Callithrix jacchus: one gene and its partner. The main gene of each other region encodes a partner of the protein of the gene in region 2 in a complex. Links are inferred from orthologs where the notes say so. Each region holds a gene or a part of one and is shown on either strand. Other genes may lie near its edges.

Region 1 (4,288 bases), on a different chromosome or scaffold from region 2:
CACTGTCTTAAACGAACAAAAGAAAGCAAAAAAAAAAATTAGCCGGGCTAGCGACAGTGCCTGTGTAATCCCAGCTACTTGGGAGGCTGGGGCAGGAGAATCGCTTGAACCCGAAAGGCAGAGGTTGCAGTGAGCCGAGAGCATGCCATTGTACTCCAACCTTGGCAACAAGTGTGAAATTCCGTATCAAAAACAAACAAAAATAGGGCTGGGCAAGGTGGCTCACGCCTGTAATCTCAACACTTTGGGAGGCCAAGGAGAGAGGACTGCTTGAGCCCAGCAGTTCGAGACCAGCCTGGGCAACATGGTAAGACCTTGTTTCTATTAAAACATAAATTAAAAAAATACGAATATCTGGGCCTAGATTAAACCAGAATCTCTGGTAGTGAGGTTTGGAAATGAATAATTGTGGGGTGGGGGAAAGCTACCTAGGGGTGCTTCCAATGTGCAGCTAAAGTAGAGAAACACAGATTTACAGAGTGAAAATACAGGTATGCCTAGTTTCAAAATTGGATTTCAACTCCAGAATTAAGTAGGGTCTTTAACAAGGAACTGAGGATCTGGGGCAGTGATTAGGAAAGGTTTTCTATATTCACCTGGTAATTAGCTCGCAGAGAGCCCTCCACAATATTTAACCCTAACGCTGCCATTAATTTCCAACATTTCTCATTTAATCTCCCTACCATCCTCAAAGCCCTGTCAAGACTCCCACTTTTGCTCAACCCGCCAAATAAGTTCCCTTTTTATCCCTATCAAACCCAACCTCCCTCAATCCCGCCACCAGGTTCCAGTTCAGCCCCTCCCCCGTCCCCTCGCAGGGGCTCCGCCTCCTCCCCGGGGCCTCCACGCTCCGCCACCTGAGCCGTTTCCACGTGCCACCACCCGCTCTCCGCATCTACTGGCCCCTTCCACTCCCCAAGACTCCCTGCTCCTTCTCACTACCGAAACTCACCGAAGGAAACAGACGCCAGGGTTCCTCCCGGGGCTGCCACCACGGCTCCGGCAGGCGGGCCGGGGACCGGCCGAACCTGAATTGACGGTGGAGGGGCTCGGGTTAGCTAGATGGGCGGTTGGTTAGATGCGTAAGCTGTAGTATGCGAACTTAGTTTGTTGTTGCTGGTTGGCTGTCTAGTCGGCAAATCCGTCTGCTCACTCGGCCTGCCCTTTCCCGACTTTCGTCTGCAGCGGCCGCCAGCTCCGTCTCAGTGTCCAAAACAAAATGGCCGCCACGTCCCGTGCGTGTAGGACCGGCTAAAATGGCGTCTACGCAATTACGTCAGGAGTCAGATCTGCGCACGACTAGAGGGCGGGAAAGATTTGAGCTACGCCTGCGCAGAAATCAGAGGCGGAGCCTTATGGCGAAGGCGGGGCTTGAGCAAACGTTACTTTAGCGTTGCAAGCAGTGCTCCGTCCCCCCAGGGGCGTGGCCAGTGGTCCCGTAGTGGGGTCGTGCAGGGTTACCGTAGGCCGTTACCGTAGTGGTTGCACGGCGACTTCCTGGGGTAGTTCGTAGAGGGGATTTTAGTCCCGAGTTCCCTCGTCCCCCCGTTCCCCAGCCAAGGTACACAGTTTAAAAATCTTTACACGGGCGGAGCGCGGTGGCTCACGCCTGTAATCCCAGCACTTTGGGAAGCCGAGACGGGCGGATCACGAGGTCAAGATATCGAGGCCATCCTGGCCATGGTGAAACCCCGTCTCTATTAAAAAAAAAATAAAATAAAATCTTTACATGGACTTGCCTCATCTTCTACCGGACCACTGGGCCTGGGGAATTTGTACTGGTTTTCCCCTCATGTCCACTCGCCCAGTCTGAGAGTTGTGAAGTGCCGTAAATGCTCCGGCCAAGGCCCAGGAGGCCAGTATTGGGAGCACACTCCTCGCGGATCCTTCGCCGGCTCCACGGCCGCCCGTCCATGTTTTCCTCCTCACTTCCTCCTCTCCCCACAATACTGTTTAATCCTTCTTGTGAGGGCACCTTTGCATCTCCGATTTCTCTTCCATGTCCTCCCTCCACACCTGCCATCCGTGTTGATTTTGTTGCAGACCTACAAAGGGATTTATCTTTTCTCTCTGATTTTTTGTTGTTGTTTTGCGACGGGCTGTTCAGGCTGCAGTCAGTGGCACAATCAAGGATCACTGCAGCCTTGATCTCCTGGGCTCAGATGATCCTCCCACTTCAGCCTCCCGAGTTCTGGGATTATAGGCGTGAGCTATGTGCCCTGCTCAATAAGGAATTTTTCTTTCTTTCTTTCTTTTTCTTTTTGCAGATGGAGTCTCCGTCACCCAGACCGGAGTGCAATGGTGCAATCTCGGCTTACTGCAACCTCTGCCTCCTGAGTTCAAGCAATTCTCCTGACCTCAAATGATCTGCCCTCCTCTGTTACCTAAAGTGCTGGGATTACAGTCATGAGCCAACGCGCCCGGCCTCAGTAAAAGATTTTTTAATGGTTTTGTACACAATACAGTGTGCATACGTTTGATTAATGAGAGAATGCAACCCCGCCCCATAGGCACGTCAAGACCCTTTCATTTTTCCTTCCTGGCATTTCTGCTCACAGGTGTGTGCGCGTGTGTGTGTGAGTGTGTAAGTAATGGCCCAGCATCCTTACCCATGTGAAGATAAGGATAGTGATTATTTTGCTTACTCCTGGATCCTGTGTTCCTACACAATGTTTACACATAGTACCAGTTAAGTAAATGTTCATTGGTTGAAAGGAGATTCTTTCGGCCGGCGCGGTGTCTCAGGCCTGTAATCCCAGCACTTTGGGAGGCCGAGGCAGGCGGATCACAAGGTCAGGAGATCGAGACCAGACTGACCAATATGGTGAGACCCCCGTCTCTACTAAAAATACAAAAGCATTAGCCGGGCATGGTGGCGTGCTGCTGCAATATCAGCTACCTGGCAGGCTGAGGCAGGAGAATTGCTTGAACCCGGAAGGCAGAGGCTGCAGTGAACGGAGATAGTGCTACTGCACTCCAGCTGCCTGGGCAACAGAGGTACACTCCATATAGTCTCCTTTCTTTCTCTTTCCTTCCTTCCTTCTTCCCTTACTCCCTCCCTCCCTCCTTCCCTCCTGGCTTTCTTCCTTTGGTCTTTCTGTCTTTTTTTTGACAGTCTCACTCTGTTGCCCAGGTTGGAGTGTAATGGCGGGATCTTGGCTCACTGCAACCTCTGCCTCCTGGGTTCAAGCAATTTTCTTGCCTCAGCCTGCTGAGTAGCTGAGACTACAGGCACATGCCGCTGTGCCTAGCTGATTTTTGTATTTTTAGTGGAGATGGGGTTTCACCATGTTAGCCAGGATGGTCTTGATCTGTCGACCTCACATCTGCCCACCTCGGCCTCCTGAAGTGCTGGGATTACAGGCATGAGCCACTGCCCCGGCCTCTTTTTTTTTTTTTTTTTTTTTGAGAGGGCTCTTGCTCTGTTGCCCAGGCTGGAGTGCAGTGGTGTATCTCGGCTTGCTGCAGCCTCGGCCTCCCGGTTTCCAGAAATTCTCCTGCCCTAGTCTCCCAGGTAGCTGGGATTACAGGCGCATGCCACCACGCCTGGCTAATGCTTTTGTATTTTTAGTAGAGATAGGGTTTTGCCATGTTGGCCAGGCTGGTCTCGAACTCCTGACCTCATGATCTGCCTGCCTCAGCTTCCCAATGTGCTGGGTTTACAGGGGTGAGCCACGGCACCCTTCCTCTGGTTTTATAGCTGAGAAGCTGATGTCTCCTCGACTTCCAACTGGAACCTTGAACCCCCACTTTCCTGGACCATGAGCATTCCTCAAGTAGGGAGATATAATGCACCTCAACCTCTTTCTAAATAAGACACTTCCCCACATAAGGGGAGTTGGCAGTGAACAGTCTTCACTTCTCCACCCACTTCCAGGTCCCAGAGGAGACAGACATCGGATGGCTGGCGAGAGAAGAGCCTTTAATGAAAGATGAGTTGCAGGCTTGGACCGCTACTCTTGCGCCCTTGGTGTGTGTGTGTGGGGGGGCGGCGGGCAAGGGTGGGATTATGGATAGGGACGGGGTGTGAGGTGGAAGCAGGGGGAAGAGGCAGGTCTGGCAGGGTGGAGAGGGAGGGCGCTGCCGAGTGGCTGCTCAACTGTTCTCCCAGAAGAAGTTGTTACAGGCCACTGTGAGAGCAGCCACGAGCACCACATACTCCTGGAAGTCCACCTCCCCGTCTCCATTCTCGTCTAGCTCCTTCATCACCTTGTCCACAGCATCCACATCCTTCTGGGCCTGTGGTGGGAGGAGAGGGAGAGGGAGGTGTATAGGGAGGTGTACAGCA
Region 2 (3,519 bases):
TCCTTCTATGATGTAAACTATGGCTCACACCATGAAGAATGCATGGATCAGTCTGTGTCTCTGAGTATCTCTGAAACCTCTAAGACATCCAAGCTTACCTTCAAGGAGAGTGTGGTGATAGTGTCAACCAATGGGAAGGTTCTGAAGAAGAGACGGTTGACTTTAAACCATTCCATCACTGATGATGACCTGGAGGGCATCGCCAATGACATAGAAGAAGGTAAGGGGTCAAGCACAATAATATCCTTGTTTTCAAGGATTTTTTTATTTTTAATTTTATTGTACTTTAGGTTCTGGGGTACATGTGCAGACCATGCAGGATTGTTGCATAGGTACACACACAGCAATGTGGTTTGCTGCCTCCATCCCCCCGTCACCTACATCTGGTATTTCTCCCCATGTTATCCCTCCCCGACCTCCCACCTCCACATCCCTCCCTTGGCCCCCACCAACAGACCCCAGTGTGTGATGCTCCCCTTCCTGTGTCCAGGTGTTCTCACCATTCAACACCCACCTGTGAGTGAGAACATGCAGTGTTTGATTTTCTGTTCTTGTGTCAGTTTGCTGAGAATGATGGTTTCCAGGTTCATCCATGTACCTATAAAGGAGACGAACTCATCGTTTCTTATGGCTGCATAATATTCCACAGTGTGTATGTGCCACATTTTCCTTGTCCAGTCTATTGTTGATGGGCATTTGGGTTAGTTCCAGGTCTTTGCTATTGTAAACAGTGCCACTATGATTATATGTGTGCATGTGCCCTTATAAAAGAACAATTTATGATCCTTTGGATATATACCCAGTAATGGGATTGCTGGGTCAAATGGAATTTCTATTTCTAGGTTCTTGATGAATCGCCACACTGTCTTCCACAATGGTTGAACTAATTTACACTCCCACCAGCAGTGTAAAAGTGTTCCTATTTCTCCACATCCTCTCCAGCATCTGTTGTCTCCAGATTTTTTAATGATCGCCATTCTAACTGGTGTGAGGTGGTATCTCAATGTGGTTTTGATTTGCATTTCTCTAATAATCAGTGACGATGAGCATTTTTTCATATGTTTGTTGGCCTCATGTATGTCTTCTTTTAAAAAGTGTCCGTTCATATCCTTCTCCCACTTCTGGATTGGTTTGTTTGTTTTTTTCTTGTAAATCTGCTTTAGTTCTTTGTAGATTCTGGATATTAGCTCTTTGTCAGATGGGTAGATTGCAAAAATTGTTTCCCATTCTGTTGGTTGCCGGTTCACTCTAATCATTGTTTCTTTTGCTGTACAGAAGCTCTGGAGTTTAATTAGGTCTCATTTGTCTATTTTGGCTTTTGTTGCCAATGCTTTTTGTGTTTTAGTCATGAAATCCTTGCCTATGCCTATGTCCTGAATGGTTTTGCCTTGGTTTTCTTCTAGGGTTTTTATGGTGTTAGGTCTTATTTTTAAATCTTTAATCCATCTGGAGTTAATTTTAGTGTCAGGTGTCAGGAAGGGGTCCAGTTTCTGCTTTCTGCACACTGCTAGCCAGTTTTCCCAGCACCATTTATTAAACAGGGTATCCTTTCCCCATTGCTTGTTTTTGTCAGGTTTGTCAAAGATCAGATAGTTGTAGATGTGTGGCATTGCCTCCAAGGCCTCTGTTCTGTTCCATTGGTCTATAACTCTGTTTTCATACCAGTACCATGCTGTTTTGATTACTGTAGTTTTGTAGTATGGTCTGAAGTCAGGTGGTGTGATGCCTCTGACTTTGTTTATTTTGCTTAGGTTTGTCTTGGCTATGAGGGCTCTCTTTTGGTTCCATATGAAGTTTAAGGTGTTTTTTTCCAGATCTGTGAAGAAGGTCATTGGTAGCTTGATGGGGATAGCATTGAATCTATAGATTACTTTGTGCAGCATGGCCATTTCCATGATATTGATTCTTCCTAACCATGAGCATGGAATGTTTCTCCATTTGTTTGTGTCCTCTTTTATTTCCTTGAGCAGTGGTTTGTAGTTCTCCTTGAATAGGGCCTTTACATCCTTTGTTAGTTGTATTCCTAGTATTTTATTCTCTTTGTAGTAATTGTAAATGGGAGTTTGCTCATGATTTGGCTCTCTGTTAGTCTGTTATTGGTGTATAGGAATGCTTGTGATTTCTGCACATTGATTTTGTATCCTGAGACTTTGCTGAAGTTGCTTATCAGTTTAAGGAGATTTTGGGCTGAGATGATGGGGTCTTCTAAATATACAATCATGTCATCTGCAAATAGAGATAATTTGACTTCCTTCTTTCCTAATTGAATACACTTTATTTTTTTTTCTTGCCTGATTGCTCTGGCTAGAATTTCCAAATACTATATTGAATAGGAGTGGTGACAGAGGACATCCTTGTCTAGTGCTGGATTTCAAACGGAATGCTTCCAGTTTTTGCCCATTCAGTATGATATTAGCTGTAGGTTTGTCATAAATAGCTTTTATTATTTTGAGATATGTTCCTTCAATACCGAGTTTATTGAGGGTTTTTAGCATAAAGTGCAGTTGAATTTTGTCAAAGGCCTTCTCTTCATCTATTGAGATAATCAGGTGGTTTTTGTCTTTGGTTCTGTTTATGTGGTGGATTATGTTTATAGACTTGTGTATGTTGAACCAGCCTTGTGTCCCCAGAATGAAGGCTAATTGATCATGATGGATAAGCTTTTTGATGTGCTGTTGCAATCGGTTTGCCAGTATTTTATTGAAGATTTTTGCATCTATGTTCATCATGGATATTGGCCTGAAGTTTTCTTTTCTTATTGAGTCTCTGCTGGGTTTTGGTATCAGGATGATGTTGGCCTCATAAAATGATTTCGGGAGGATTCTGCCTTTTTGGATTGTTTGGAATAGTTTCAGAAGGAATGGTATCAGCTCCTCTTTGTACGTCTGGTAGAATGCTGCTGTGAACCTGTCTGGACCTGGACTTTTTTGGTTGGTAGGCTATTAATTGCTGCCTCAACTTCAGCCCTTGTTATTGGTCATTTGAAGGTTTCAACTTCTTCCTGGTTTAGGCTTCGGAGGGTGCAACTGTCCAGGAATTTATCCATTTCTTCCATGTATACTGGTTTATGTGCATAGAGTTGTTTGTAGTAATCTCTGATTGTAATTTGTGGAGTCAGTGGTGATATCCCCTTTATCATTTTTTATTGCATCTGATTCCTCTCCCTTTTCTTTTTTATTAATCCTGATAGTGGTCTGTCTATTTTGTCGATCTATTCCAAAAACCAGCTCCTGGATTTATTGATTTTTTGAAGGATTTTTTGTGTCTCTATCTCCTTCAGTTCTGCTCTGATCATAGTTATTTCTTGTCTTCTGCTAGCTTTTGAGTTTTTTAATCTTCTTCCTCTAGCTCTTTCAATTTTGATGAATGGGGGCCGATTTTAGATCTTTCCTTGCTTCTCTGGTGGGCATTCATTGCTATAAATTTCCCTCTAGACACTGCTTTAAATGTGTCCCAGAGATCCTGGTATGTTGTGTCTTCGTTCTCATTGGTTTCAAAGATCATCTTTATTTCTGCCTT

Evidence for each region. The genes of interacting proteins can lie anywhere in the genome.
Region 1: the proteins of IL1A (region 2) and S100A13 are in contact, whole or in part, in an NMR structure (PDB 2L5X), measured with the Homo sapiens proteins. The link is inferred for Callithrix jacchus from reciprocal best matches to the Homo sapiens genes IL1A and S100A13. Residues at the interface, in NP_000566.3 of Homo sapiens: Asn148, Gln150, Tyr151, Thr194, Ala195, Gln196, Asp197, Leu203, Leu204, Lys205, Glu206, Met207, Gly216, Ser217, Glu218, Thr219, Asn220, His239; in NP_001019381.1 of Homo sapiens: Met1, Arg25, Gln26, Glu27, Gly28, Arg29, Lys30, Asp31, Ser34, Asp68, Ser69, Glu70, Lys72, Phe73.

The regions. Positions count from the first base shown.
Region 1 is NC_133519.1:14,050,498-14,054,785, reverse strand, and holds the start of S100A13 (protein S100-A13), read left to right. Parts: upstream 1-1,477; 5' UTR 1,478-1,561; intron 1,562-3,877; 5' UTR 3,878-3,925; coding exon 3,926-3,970; exon of another isoform or gene 3,971-4,095; coding exon of another isoform or gene 4,096-4,239; intron 4,240-4,288. Other genes in the region: S100A1 (protein S100-A1), read right to left, coding at 4,096-4,239. UniProt on the Homo sapiens protein: Plays a role in the export of proteins that lack a signal peptide and are secreted by an alternative pathway. Binds two calcium ions per subunit. Binds one copper ion. Binding of one copper ion does not interfere with calcium binding.
Region 2 is NC_133515.1:21,801,728-21,805,246, forward strand, and holds part of IL1A (interleukin-1 alpha), read left to right. Parts: coding exon 1-220; intron 221-514; exon of another isoform or gene 515-598; intron 599-3,519. UniProt on the Homo sapiens protein: Cytokine constitutively present intracellularly in nearly all resting non-hematopoietic cells that plays an important role in inflammation and bridges the innate and adaptive immune systems.